3 linked regions of the Arabidopsis thaliana genome follow. The protein of the gene in region 3 interacts with the protein of the main gene of each other region in a biochemical or structural test. Each region holds a gene or a part of one and is shown on either strand. Other genes may lie near its edges.

Evidence for each region.
Region 1: of the proteins of RGLG2 (region 3) and UBC35, one has a biochemical effect on the other in vitro, tested with the Arabidopsis thaliana proteins (one study listed by BioGRID).
Region 2: of the proteins of RGLG2 (region 3) and ERF53, one has a biochemical effect on the other in vitro, tested with the Arabidopsis thaliana proteins (one study listed by BioGRID).

What each region holds. Positions count from the first base shown.
Region 1 is NC_003070.9:29,648,392-29,653,111, reverse strand, and holds UBC35 (ubiquitin-conjugating enzyme 35), read right to left. Parts: upstream 2,737-4,720; 5' UTR 2,524-2,736; coding exon 2,488-2,523; intron 2,390-2,487; coding exon 2,362-2,389; exon of another isoform or gene 2,184-2,361; coding exon 2,097-2,183; coding exon of another isoform or gene 2,094-2,096; intron 1,797-2,093; coding exon 1,738-1,796; intron 1,465-1,737; coding exon 1,423-1,464; intron 1,341-1,422; coding exon 1,267-1,340; coding exon of another isoform or gene 1,254-1,266; exon of another isoform or gene 1,164-1,253; coding exon 1,066-1,163; intron 947-1,065; coding exon 909-946; 3' UTR 501-908; downstream 1-500. Other genes in the region: AT1G78880 (Ubiquitin-specific protease family C19-related protein), read left to right, coding at 1-44. UniProt on the Arabidopsis thaliana protein: Catalyzes the synthesis of non-canonical poly-ubiquitin chains that are linked through 'Lys-63'. This type of poly-ubiquitination does not lead to protein degradation by the proteasome. Mediates transcriptional activation of target genes.
Region 2 is NC_003071.7:8,983,991-8,987,802, reverse strand, and holds ERF53 (Integrase-type DNA-binding superfamily protein), read right to left. Parts: upstream 1,845-3,812; 5' UTR 1,751-1,844; coding exon 740-1,750; 3' UTR 501-739; downstream 1-500. Other genes in the region: photosystem II reaction center PSB29 protein, read right to left, coding at 1-20. UniProt on the Arabidopsis thaliana protein: Transcriptional activator involved in abiotic stress tolerance. Can directly regulate stress-related gene expression by binding to the DNA sequence 5'-[AG]CCGAC-3' (DRE element) of their promoter region.
Region 3 is NC_003076.8:4,647,579-4,653,429, reverse strand, and holds RGLG2 (RING domain ligase2), read left to right. Parts: upstream 1-1,987; 5' UTR 1,988-2,287; intron 2,288-2,553; exon of another isoform or gene 2,554-2,802; 5' UTR 2,803-2,866; coding exon 2,867-3,190; intron 3,191-3,320; coding exon 3,321-3,405; intron 3,406-3,489; coding exon 3,490-3,744; intron 3,745-3,826; coding exon 3,827-3,924; intron 3,925-4,000; coding exon 4,001-4,080; intron 4,081-4,177; coding exon 4,178-4,283; intron 4,284-4,350; coding exon 4,351-4,478; intron 4,479-4,559; coding exon 4,560-4,752; intron 4,753-4,847; coding exon 4,848-4,904; intron 4,905-4,994; coding exon 4,995-5,075; 3' UTR 5,076-5,319; downstream 5,320-5,851. Other genes in the region: AT5G14430 (S-adenosyl-L-methionine-dependent methyltransferases superfamily protein), read right to left, coding at 96-338. UniProt on the Arabidopsis thaliana protein: E3 ubiquitin-protein ligase that mediates the formation of 'Lys-63'-linked ubiquitin chains. Regulates apical dominance by acting on the auxin transport proteins abundance.

The sequences.
Region 1 (4,720 bases), on a different chromosome or scaffold from region 3:
TGAGATGCGAAGATTCATCGAACGTAGATGCAATTCCTGTCTGATGCAGTAGTAGTGGAAGTCTTTCTTTTCCTTCTTCTTCCACGGTTGGTAGACGAAAATTTCACTGCTCCACTTCGGCTTCATTAATATTTTTCATGAAATCTGAAATGTGTTCTTGGTTGGTGGCCTTTTCGCTCTCTACTGATGATGATTCCTTTGGTTGGTGGTTTATGGTAGTGTTTTCTTTTTCTTCTCTCTTTTAATATTTCTTATTTTTTATATCGAGTTATTATTACATTAGGATGATAATGATGATGATGGATGTGGATTTCTTTTCTACAACTTAATTTGTGTTGTGGGCACTCTTCTTTGCCTTATGGTTTGTAATTTGTAAAGCTCTGCTAGTTATTCTTTTTTCGACCTAATTTGTGATCTAATGTAATGGGGATTATCTTTTTAGTTTGGAATGTTCCCGTTGCATGTGGATTGTATTTATTATTTCCTCCTTATTGTTTCTTCCTGAGATCAACTCTTTCCAAAAATACAACAGAATCACCTCATCGGGGAAATGTATATAAATTACAAACTCTCTCTACATCACTGCCAATTTGTAAAAGAAGTAAATTCCAACAATGATCAGTAAGTAACCTATGGATTTTGATGAAACTTAGAATTTACAGAGCTTAGACACTAGAGAAATATAGATATTTTTTACTCAAAAGACTTTGACGAACTTCAAATATAAGAACGAGTATTGATCCTAGGAGTAATGATACAGTGTGATTAAGAGAGATTACAGAGCAGTGGCGGGGGGAAATAACCAGCAAAATATAAGCTTTCTTATAACTTTGATGTTGAGATAGATTTCAGCAAATGTAATGTTATTTGGATGAAAGAGATCTTTTCAGTTTTCACCCTCCAATTTATCATGCGCCGCTTGCATAAAGACGGGTCCATTCCTTAGCTGCACAGATATAGTTCACAAGGATGTGAGATACTAACACAACGTTTAGAAAGAAAGAAAGAAAGAAAGAGTAGAAAGATATTGTAACAAGTTTAAATTCAGTGTTAAAATCACATCACCTGTATCCACAGCTTCTGCCTCATTACTCTTCCAGTGCTTAGCAATGTTCTCAGAAAGCGGATCATCTGGGTTTGGTGCACTCAGAAGAGCTTGAATACTTTATAAGGATTGCACACGTTAATAAAATAGGAGCAGAAGTCAAGCTCCAAGAAACCAATAGTTTTTAGCAGGAAATAATCTTATGTAATCAGCTCATATACCTTAAGAGCACTGTTCGTATTTGTAGTGCAGGGCTCCATTTGTCCTTGAGAATATCAAGACAGATTCTTCCAAGCTGCTCAAATAGACACAAGTTTAGGAGCATGTCTTTGGTTGTGTGGATGACAAAGGAAAAAGAGGAGGGATTTGGAACAGACCTTGTCAATGTTAGGATGGTATATCTTTGTGAGAAACCTAACCTGTAACAGATTAAATCATTAATAGAGTCATTAGAGAATAGAGAAATGCTCTACACAAACCATTTACAAAAAATCAAACGTTCAAGAACTATATCCATATGAAAAGAGAAACAATGACAAGAAATATGACATTACATGTACGTCACTCATAATCCAACCAGAATCATGGATCTCAGAGACCATTTGGTATGTGTACAAATAAATACCAAACCAATATATTCGCTTAATAACTAGATTCTTATAGCTGACACTACTTATAGTCAAATGACTTACCTTGGGAGCTGCCATAGGGTATTCTTCAGGCAAAAAGAGCTCCAACTTGAAAACTCCTCCTATAAGATGGAATCTATCACTCAGTAAAAAGTTAAAATTTTAAGAGAGAGCATATTCAAAGGAGAAAAAGAAAAAAGGTACAAGTTTTAAACTTAGCATCTGGTACGCAACAGAACAAATCGAATGTGTTAATAATAAAACTAAGTACAGTTGTGTATGTATATTCAGGACTATACTTAACACTAGCTAGTGTCACAAACAAGATACAAGAGCATTAGCAATCATTGCTTGACATAAACATGTTGTACTCTCAAAGCAAAAAATCTAATACTCGGATTATCAGAAGACTATTTGACTACCTTCATAAGGTGATTGTGTAGGACCAAGAATCATAACGTTGAAATACCGCATATTATCCTCAGATGGAGAGGCACTTATACCGGGAGCTGCACCAATCAAATCAATCGAAGTTATAATCAGATTTAAATCTTACTCTACAACCAAATTCCAAACTCCATGGACGGTCACGTCTCGGATCCACAATTCAACCATCAAAATTGATATTATCATCTCAAAATCAACACTATAACTCAACAAGGCAGGACGAATTAAAGAGTTTTTTACCCGGTTCACTGAGCAGACGTTGAGTTTCCTATCAGATCGCAAGGAAAACAAAAGTTAAGAGACTCCGATAGAAACAGAGATCGGTAGAGTTTGTCCAAGGAATCAAATCGAGATTGGAAAACAAACCTTGATGATTCTTCGCGGCAAATTACTGTTGGCCATTATCACTTGTCGATCGAGCTCAGAGAGTTAGGGTTTTTGAAGGGAGCTGCTGATGATAATCGAGAACAACAAGTTCGTCGTCGTCGTCTCTCGAATCTGACGAAGATTTTAATTCGATTTCCTTTCTCTATCTTTAAAATTCAACTCTGGACGAATCAAATAATATATTAGCTTTTATTTTACGTATTTTCCCGCAACCTTTGTTTATTGCTAACCCTCCCTAAAGTTCTACTTATTTATTGATTTTTCCCAACAGTTTTCGAATATTACATAGATTTTCTCAGATTTCCGGGCTTATTGGTCCATCAAAGCCATTTATATGTGAGGCCCATATTTATTATAATGGACCTTAACCAAATCCAGTTTATCCATTAAGCTTGTCATTTTATATTGGACTTGTAAAACTTTAAACATTTCATTGGGTTGGGCCGATCTCGAAAGCCCATCAAGAATAATACGACTTTAAAGTAGCGAACTAGGTAGTAGGTTCACTGTGAGTTAGCCGTTGAGGATGTCAGAACGGTAACTATGACGTCAAAAGCTGAGAATTCGAAAACTATCCGTTAGTGATTTTACCCAACGGTAAAGAAAACTTGTCTATATATAGTAATACACACAACACAGTCCTCGTTACTCCTAAATTATCTAATCCAAACCAAGACATGTAGATAGAAACCTATTCTCTTTTTGTCTCTTGTTGTCTGATTCTCTCTTCATCTTCGGCGGCAAAACTCAGCCAATCATCGGTGAGTTACTTTGTACTTTACTTTACGGTGAAAAGCGAAAACTGTGTCTATGTAAAACCTTTGTACATTACCTTTCTGTCTCTATGTACTTTAATTTCCAGTTTCTTTCTTGTTGTATTGTTTGGGTGTTTTTAGTCGGAATTACTCTTCTTGGCTCTTAGTACTTTGTTTTGACCCATGTTGGATTTTGATTTCTATGTTATTCGTATTGTTGATACTTCGTTTAAAACTTATATGTTGACAAATGAATACGGTGCAATGCCTTAATTTAAACCATGAATCTTTTATTTTCGTTATTATTTATTTGATAATAGTCCTAATAATGTTTTTAATCAAGATATAATATTTTTTGCGAGGGATCATTAATTCTGATGAGGAGGACAAAGCTTCAACAAGCGAACAACAATATCCACTACTTAGAGAGCTAAAGCATAAACATGAATTGCAATTTCCGCCAGGTTAGTTTTCAATCCTTTCCAAAAATCAACTACTATCAATAATAATTGAAGCACTTTTTAGTCGAAATACTCATCACTCGAAACACTTTCTAGTGTAAACTTTTTAATTCTACTTTAATAACACACTCATAAACACTATATCATTTAGTAGTAAAACACTCAGTAACTAAAAAATATTTTCTTAAAAAAAGATATGATGCGGAACTTTTAATTAAAACTCACAACTAAAAAATTAAAATAGTTGAAACATACTTAGTAAACACCAAATTATTTTCAACAAAAAATAGTCAAAGTCGTAGCACTGAACCATTCAACCAAAAAAAAACACATTTAACAAGATACACACACGACTAATAAATGTGTATTTTCTTACGTCTTTAAAATTACATTAACACTTAATTAATTCAACAAAATCCCTTTAGCCAAAATTTAGTCGAAGCACTTACTCAAAAAACTTATATCTAAATCCGAACACACGTAAAACACTAGATCAATTTACTTAAAAGTCGAAACATATATTTCCAAGCATACTTCTAAACAAAGCATACTTAGTGAAGTACATTAGTTATACTGTTGAACACAATATTAAATCACGAACACGTACTCCTAAACTAGTCAGGCAAATTACTCCTAACATTTTAGTCAAAACATAGTTATTCGTAACACTTGAAAACACTTCCGCAATTCCGCATTTAAAGGCAAGTGCAAAAATCACACTTTATTTAAAAAAAGCTTATATAAAAACCGTTTTAGGCGAAGTATGAATATTACTTGAACAATTATTGTTTTTACTTCACATTTCGTCGAAGCGTCTGTTAGTCGAAGCCAAGCACAAGTTGAACCACTGTTAGTCGTATCGCTGTTAGTCGTTAGTCAAAACACTTTTTTATGTCATACATTTTGTACGTTGTTATTAAATGTTAACTTGATCGGGAAAAGACCACTCTGTTGCAGGTCGCACACCTTTAACAGTGATCTAATATATCAAAGACA
Region 2 (3,812 bases), on a different chromosome or scaffold from region 3:
GAGATTGCAGTTGCAGCCATCGCTAAATTGAAGTGAGAAAGAGAGGAGAAGAAGAGTTGTTGTTGTTGCTATGTTTAATCAGAAGAGTTCTCAAGTAATAGCCATTGGAAGGATGATGATGGCTCTGGTTGGATCTTCTGAGTTTCGACTTTCGAGTGGCTTATCCAACTCCACGAGATGTCGGTAGTGTGACACGTGTCCCTTGTCTGTCCACGTTAGGATTAGGCCCATTTACTTTGGATTTTGCTAGAGCTCGGTCCATCTAATAAAAGCCCATAAATAAATGCAGCATATATCACATGTACATAATGTTGCTCTCTGTTTCATTATCAATTGTACAAACTACAAAGTCCGTTTATTCATGCTCAAGATTCATCAGAATTCAACTCGTTAGTACATTGATCGTTTCCAAAAATGTCTTACGTCGAATTAGACATATGTACTTAAATCTTATTTAGGTTTTGATCTTCTTCTTTTTTTCAGTTAAAAGGGTTATTGATCACTTCTCACTCTCTTTCTATGGAATAAGATGAACTGATGAAGTACAAACACCAAATACTTAAGTTTTATATGTGAAAATGATTGACCCCATTAGATTCATAGTCACCGATCAAGAAAAAAATGATGGTCGAAAATAGAATCTAAAATGTGGAAGATGACAAAAACTGTCTCCACCCAAAAAAAAAACACAAGCTAGATCAGTCATACAACTAAGCATATCTATATTCTAACAAAGGTCCTAAATTGTATCAGAAGAAGAGTTTTGTGTGGCGTCAAGATCGTCCTTATGGTTAGAAATGGGAAAGTGGTAATCATCCCATAGAGGGCTTCCAGGTCCCCATTCCTCTGGAATTGCATTGAACCATGCCTCAGCCCAACCCGTCTCCTCACTCACCCCTCCTACTGCCAATGCCGTGCTCGAATCATCCTCTCCTCTTCTGCTTGAGTCTTCACTAGTAGTCCCCGTCTCACATTGTTTCTGATGCACGGGAGTTGGCTCTTGTTTATTGAGAAAAAGTTCAGGGAAATTGAGCCTAGCGGTCTCTCCCCTCAACTTGAAGGCCTCGCGGTCGTAGGCCATGGCGGCTTCTTCTGCTGTATCGAATGTCCCTAGCCAGAGACGTGTCCTGTTTCGTGGCTTACGGATCTCGGCAACCCATTTTCCCCAGTGGCGTTGCCTGACACCTCTATATAGCTTGGTGGCGCTGAAGGGTTGAACCGGTGGCCTCGTCAGTGGCAGATCGCTTTCTTGTCTTAACATGTTCATCATCATCATTCTTCCGCTCGGACTCAGCTTCAGAATGTCTCTCCAGTACTGCAATAGATGTTGTTGTTGTTGCTGCTGTTGTGCAACATATGGTTGCACCTGTTGTTGAGGATCAAACGAGATCATTTGTTGCTGTCTTTGTCCTGAAGGGTCATTCGGGTGTAAAAATCGTTGTTGATTTTGAATCGCTGGAGGGAGGTAAAAGGGAAAAGAGACAGAGCATGTAGTTGTTGTTGGCGGCTGAGGAGTAGCATAAGAAGATACGAGATAGGGATTATGTCGGTCAAAGGTTCTAGTCTTCCTAAGACTTCTTGGAGACGTAGAGGAAGCATCTCCTAACCACATGTCCGAGCCAGGACCCGAATCTTTATACTTGCCGCTACTAAACTGGAACTCCTCCTCCAACTCCATCTCATCCTTTTTCTCTGCTTCACTGGTACCAAGGACCCTGATTGATTTTCCCTTGTTCTTAGCAGTAGCCATAGAGAAGAGGAGTCAACGACGATGTCCTCTTTTGTCTTTGAGAAAACAGAGCAAGAGCGGGAGAAACAGAGAGATTTGTTGTGTGGTTATGAAATATTTTCCCCACTTTTATATCAGAACCGGTGGGGCTTAACTAAGATGTTGACATATATCACTAAGCAAAATATCTCAAGCCCTCTCAGGACCGTACTTGTGTTTCTTTTGGACGGTGGAACATTCTTTATTTTTCTACTTAATTATTACAAATACATTGTTGATAGTATGCACATCGTTGATAGTATGGTCGGCTAACCGCGGCTAAGGATGACATGCAATGAGAATGAGATTGAAGCAATTGATTGCGACGTAACGTGTATTTTAATTAGGCTTGTTATCATCATCTCTCGAAGGTTAGCGATTTGTCGTCAAAGTCAGCTTTGACTTTGTTTTTTTTTCTCTTATTTTTCTGTATACCCCACCTACAAAAGACATAAACAAAACCGACCAAACTTGAAACACACAAATTAAAAAAAGCTTATATGATAGTATAAGTTATATCTCATCCAACTTAACGTATCAACTAACTCAATAGAAAAAGAATGTACCCTACCCATGTCAGTATCACCATACATTCATAATATATATAACTTCTTTTAGAATTTATTTAAATTTTGGATGGCTGTTTCGATACATAACCTTCTAATAAGAAGTGTAAAGGCAGGCGTAAAAAAAGATTCGACCTTAAAAAGTAATTAATTTCAAGTCACATGAATAATAATTAAAATGATGTAATAACAAAATAACGAAAACATCTAAATAATGCTAAATAATTATAAAACGCTAAAAATACATCGTTTTTAACTATATTTTTAATAAATGTATTCAGAAATATTAAATTATTTTTCCAATACGATAAAATTAGATAAATGTTATGGATTTTCTTATCATTCACAACAAGGAAAAACTCTTGGATGGTAAACTGAATGGACTTTCAAGGGTTGAAAAATGGAATGTTTTCTGAAGCAGACCGATTTTATACAAGCCCCTCAATTCGCATTAGTAAAACCGATGTCTCCTTGCATAATATGGATTCCAAATATGTTATAATGTCTATTGACATGAAGAACTTAGAAACCTTGGTACATATTAAGATGACGTGGACGCAAGGAGGTGCCAAGGTGGGAGGCTGAAGTCTTAAACTTTCGGCAGATAAAGATAAACAAACTCCAAAACAAAACAAAACAAAAAGAAAACAAAGACAAGGGAAAAGGTTCGTGTTAGAAGAAAAAGTCAACAGCTTAAAGCTTAAAAAGTCGGTGAATGAATGGGTCAGCTCTCTCCACTTTCATTATCTCTCTATGCTCTATCTCTCCAATCATAAAACTTGCTATTCCAATTAAACTTATACACTATCCATTAGTATTTTATGTAGTATTCTTATTAAGATATTTTAACGTGGTCCATCATTCTACTTAATAAGTTTTTCTCTTCTTTTAAATTTATTGGCAGCAGTTTGAGAAAACGATTAGATTGATTAAGAATGCAACGAATGTCAAATCCCAAACCATTATCTTATACCAGTTATATTATGAGTGCTTCATATTTATATATTAACTTGCCAAAGTTTTGAAGATTATACTATGAAGGCTACTCAAAGGGACATTGATTCCTAGAAGATGATTTTATGATGTTAAGCCGTTGACTTTGGTAACTAAATCATTTGACCTTTGATGTTTCTGCCCCCTTTAGCAAATAGAAACTTAATAAGAAAATTTTCATTGAAATTTAGCATCCCAAAGAAAGGTGTAGAAAAGTTATAGTGTAATGTGATTGGTGAGGTGCATGTTCGACACTCTTCAAATGTTGATTGAAACTTTTTTTTGTGTGCAAAGTTGATTGAAACTTTAATATTTTTTCATTAATCGCTTAAAGTGTAGTAGTGTCAAAATATTGAGATGTCAAGTATAGAACATACTATCATTTTCAAAACAATTGTGCAATTTCAGTATAATCAGTATTTAAATCATTAATAACCTCATGTGTAATTAACTCTATTATATTATCGATTTTAAAACACAAGCCC
Region 3 (5,851 bases):
TAAATTCAACGAGCTAATCTACACAAATCTTAACTTGAACACTAAAAATCTAGACATCTCTACTCAATTCGAAACAAATGATTCGATTCACGAACCGGAACACTTTTAGGAACTTCGAAACGGCTCACTGCAAGCACAATATCTCGATTCCTCAAGGATCCGATTCCGGTGCGAACGCGGTTATTAGATCCATCGAACTCATCGGACTTTCTGGATCCGGGAGCGAACGAAGAGCCGTAGTAGAGGCAAGTCAAGCCGAGTAGAGCGATGAAACCGACGAGAACGTAGGTGAAGAGCTTCGGAGTCGCACGGACTCGCTCAGTTCTGAAGTGTTTCATTCTCAGCGTCTCCGGATCCGGATCTAGATCTGACCCGATACTGAGGACCCGGAAATCTAGCTGCCGATGAAGAGTGGATAGTGTGAGAGCTACAGTAGATTCCCTCGAGGTCGAAGACGACGAAATAGACCAGTGTCGGATTTTACGTGCAAGGGAATATTTGGTTAGCTGTGATCCTCTGTGGCAAGGACTAGGGTTGTTTCTATGCTCCTTAACTAAAACACGCGGTTAAAACTAAATGGGCCTGTAGGTAGCATACATGTGCTTTTAAAGAATAATATTGGGCTTTATATAGTTTCTTATTGGGCTTTATACTTGTGTTTTCGATTTTTAGTTTTTGTATCTTATAGTTGTAACTTTTATATATTTTTATGAAACGGTCAAACACTCGAACACATTCAATTGTAGAAGATAATAAATCATCAATAGATTTCTTTGATTTCAATTCAGTTTTAATGTTCCTATACTATTATGGAAAGTATATGAATAAGTTGACCAAACAAAATGGAGAGTACTTATTAATTACTAGGTTCAGTGAATCTTCTTCAGGTAACATTTGTTTTAATTTTTTTGGTGTAAATGTTAAGAAAATAAATACATTTGTTATTCAACCATGAATATAGTGGTTTGTGTTACATTTATTATTTATATAATGGATATTAAGAATGTCGTGGCGTTCACTAGTCAGTATTACACTTATATAATGCATATTAACATTCGTTATTCTAGTTTACTCCAGTCCATTAGATTCGAAATGCTTTTATGAACTATATAGAGGAACTAATACGATTTTATTCTATAATTATTTGGTTTGAAAGTGCAGTCCACGTATTTCTTGTTTGCTCCTTGAAGGAACTGTCCAAGAAAGAAAAAAAAGAGTAGCATAAATCACGGGTACGAAGTTTCATACTTTAATGTAAGTCCATTTAAGTTTCACGTGTTGTGTCTTGCTCACCGAAGGAAGCAAAAACTTTTATACTGAAATTAAGACAACTTTAGTTAATCAATAATTTGCACACAAGAAGAAAAAAAGGTTAATCAATTATAAGCATGAGTGCATCATGAGCGAGAACTCTCGAGCAAAGAAAAAAGAAGACGAATGGATGATAATTTAAAAGTCAAACTCTCAATATTTGTAGTCTACAAGGTGCAATATTCAACAGTACCTATCGAGTAAATCCGAAAAGGGAAAAAATTGACGTAGTTAAGGAACATTGACAATTTAACCGCACGACGAAGGAAAGATATTGAAGATAGGATAGGATTGTCACGTGGTCGGAAACTTCTGATAACCATCCATTTCATCCCCAAAGGTATTTATTGCATTGTTATTATACTATTAGTATTTGCCCAAATCATACAGAAGAAGTTTTTTTTGTTTGGCAGTCCTATTTATATGATACATCATTTCTAAACTTCTGAGTTGCAATTTTTTAAACTAATTATTGATTATGTTTTCCTTCTTTAAGTATTTTTTATTCATATAATTTACATATGTATAATACAATCCTCTAGATTAAAAATTTGGAATTAAAAAATGTTAGTTTAGTTATTGACTATTTGTACTTTTTAAGAAATGGTCAATTTAAGAATTTCAAGTAATCAAAAGAAATTGTCAATTGATACCATGTTATGACTTTGGATATCGATAATAATATTATAGGGCCAATTGTTGGAAGAGAGAATAAAATGTGGGGTAAAATTAGAAGAAGTTTCCACCATTAGCGTGCTTCACACTTTTTTAAAAACAGAAAAGTGATTAGTCTCCTAATGATTTCATAGAAACAAACCAAATACAACAAACAGAAGAAAAGTGAAATTGCTTTCGAACAAAAGGAGGAAACTTTAAAGGCGAACTCTTTAGTATTCGATCCGCCATTGAAGCTCCTCTGACTCTCTCTCAAAGTACTTCTCTGATTCGTCATTCCTCTGCTTCGTTTAGTTTAAAGGTAGACAACTTTTCCTCTCAATCGAATTGGGTCATTTTCTGATGAATGTCGGGAGATTCAATCTCGAATTAATGTTATTTTTCGATTTTGGGGTAGTCTTTGGTTTGATGAATCAGAGAATGTTTCAGTTCAATTCGGCGAAATTGGAAAGCTCGTAGATTTGTCAGAAACTGGTTTTTGTTTGTTTTACTTATTGTGGGTTAGAGTGTTGGAGTAGGTTTTCGTAATAGGACTTTTATCTTAATCTAGAAGTCACTAAATCGCGTATTGTTGTGGAAAATTACGTGACGTGATTGAATCTCCTTTCTTTATATAAACATCTCTACCAACCTTCGATTTTAAAGAGCGGTGAGATAATTCAACATCTGTCAAAGATAAAGCTTTCACCTTTTCTTAACGAATTAGGTATAGGTAAATTGCATCTTCTAATAATGTCAGAATCTTAAACAAAGTTTCTGCTTTTTTTTTCTGGGGTTTCATGAATATACTCTAAAGGCTAAATCTTTGTTTTGCAGGGTACGGAACTGACCTGAGAGGTTTGATTTGAATCTAAAAAGGTTTAGTTTTTTGTTAAGTTTGATGGGGACAGGGAATTCTAAAGAAAACTGGAGACAGTCATCGTTTAGGTCAACTTCTGCTTCATCAGCATCACCATCTTCATCTTCATGGGCTTCTCAACAAAGTTATCCTCAGTATGGTGCAGAAAGCTATAATTACCCTCCTCCACCTTCTTATGCCCAACCTCCTGAGTATACGCAACCTCCTCCTCCTTTATATAGTACTCAGCCTTACTCTGCTCCGTCTTATTCTGCACCGCCTTCTCAAAGTTATGGTAGTGATAATAAGAAGAGGTTGGAGCGCAAGTATTCGAAAATTTCTGATGATTACTCTTCTTTGGAGCAGGTTAGCTGAGTCTCGCGTTGGTTTTTAGTGGAATCTAGTGTGTGTTCTTTGATGATTACAAAACTTGAAAACTGTAGATTCTCATGGGTTTGACAGAAAAGATTCACATTATGTTCTGTTTTCGTTTTAGGTGACGGAGGCTCTTGCACGGGCGGGTCTAGAATCTTCAAATCTCATCGTTGGTATTGATTTCACTAAGAGTAACGAATGGACAGGTTGGTGAGATTCTAGATTCTGTCTTTGTGTAATGCATCAAATGGTTTCACTCTCAAAATCATACTTTGCTTGTTTGATAACAGGGGCCAGGTCCTTCAATAGGAAAAGCTTACACTTCATAGGCAGTAGTCCCAATCCTTATGAACAAGCGATAACTATCATAGGAAGAACCTTAGCCGCCTTTGACGAGGACAACTTGATTCCATGTTATGGTTTTGGAGATGCATCAACACATGATCAAGACGTGTTCAGTTTCAATTCAGAGGATAGATTCTGTAATGGATTTGAGGAAGTACTTTCCCGGTATAAGGAGATCGTGCCTCAACTTAAGCTTGCAGGTTTATTTCTTTTCCTTATTTGGCCGCATTTTCATGAAATGCTAGCTAAATTCTTAAATGTGAATGTTGAATACTTCTGCAGGGCCAACCTCCTTTGCTCCGATCATCGATATGGCCATGACCATTGTTGAGCAGAGTGGTGGGCAATATCACGTCCTAGTGATAATAGCAGATGGGCAGGTACGAATAAAACCAGTATGATGTTATGAACCTTTGTTTTTGTGTCAAAAGAAGAAACCTCAATGAACCATTTCAGGTTACAAGAAGTGTTGACACGGAAAATGGACAGTTAAGTCCACAAGAACAGAAGACGGTAGATGCGATCGTGCAAGCGAGGTTGGAATATTGTCCAATCTTTTGACATTGTTCTCTCCATTGAAGTTATATCTCTTTTTGGCTGGCTTTTCTGATGTGAACTTTTTCTCTGTGACAGTAAGCTTCCTCTATCAATCGTCTTAGTCGGGGTGGGGGATGGACCTTGGGACATGATGAGGGAATTTGACGATAATATTCCGGCCAGAGCGTTTGATAACTTCCAAGTAAGTTTCTTTCTAGCTAATAACATCGAAGTTAGTTTGGTGTTTTAATCTGATGTTCTGTTTCTAGTTCGTGAACTTCACAGAGATCATGGCAAAGAACAAAGCTCAATCCTTGAAGGAAACAGAGTTTGCCCTTTCTGCTCTCATGGAGATTCCTCAACAATACAAGGCGACAATAGAGCTTAACCTTTTAGGGTAAATCCCCAAACATAATCTTTATCAATTTTCATCCCAAAGTTGTCAACTTTTTCCTTACCCTTTTAACTTTTTCCGCAGAAGAAGAAATGGATATATCCCGGAGAGATTCCCTCTTCCGCCTCCAATGCGCGGTGGATCATCGTCCTACAACAGTCCAAAGCCTTCACGTCTTCCAAGTTTCAAACCGAGTGTTCCTCCTCATCCAACTGAAGGCTATCACGTAAGGTCTAGTCCCGTCCCACCCCCTACAAGCTCTGCTTCTGATAACCAGGTACTTCTAAAATCAGAAATATACTTGGAAATTAATCAGTCTGAAACGTTATTTGAAAAAGTTCAAAACTTGATGTTATTGGATCTTTTGAACAGCTATGTCCGATTTGTTTGAGCAACCCGAAAGACATGGCCTTTGGTTGTGGCCATCAGGTAAAATCGAAACAAACACAATTTCCATCTTCTGCATCTACTTAATCGATCAAAACATCAAACTAACTTGGCTTCTGTTTTTGATACAAGACTTGTTGCGAGTGTGGACCAGATCTTCAAATGTGTCCGATTTGCCGTGCACCAATCCAGACAAGAATAAAGCTCTACTAACAAACAAGTAGACCAGACATCGACGACCCTTCTCTCTCTTTCATCTTCTTTCAACTTCTTTTGGGAATTTAGTTTGAATCTAATCACTGAAATTTCTCCGAGAAAGATCGGATCTTTTGTATAAAGAAAAAAACAATGCTTGTTCGTTTACTCACTTTCCTAACTTCATCTTGTCCCAAAACCTTTGACTTCTTTCTTTCTTTCTATCTTTCTTCTTTGCTTGGAGTAAAAAAATTGTTATTCATGTGCCCATGTCTTTTTTTTTCCTTCTTTCTTTGTTCAAATAAATTTTGATTCTTATAATTTGGTTATTTGAAAATTGAGAAAATCATAAGAAATACATCTACTTTTTCTTTCATATAAAGAGCCTCCGTATTAGCTATACTATACAAATCACATGCTGTCCGAAAAAGTGGTAGCTATATACCTCACAATGGTACAAATCATCTAACCTCGTACCTTACTTCAGTAACAGAGATATATATGTTAGTTCCATGCTAATCCAACTTACGCTAAAAACAATAAACTATTCTATGTGTATTATTGTACCTGAGATTTTAGACCGCATTTCAGTTTTTTAGAAAATAAATATTAGGGGCATTGCATTCTAAATGTAGATTTAATTTGTAGAATGACGGTACCAATTCGTCTAGAGCAAAATATTTCATCATTTTTTTATAAGTATCACATATATTTCAGTGATATCCTCACAGATTTATAGAAAACCATTTATTGTAGGGGGGGGGGATAAATTGGAAAAAGAATATATTAAAATT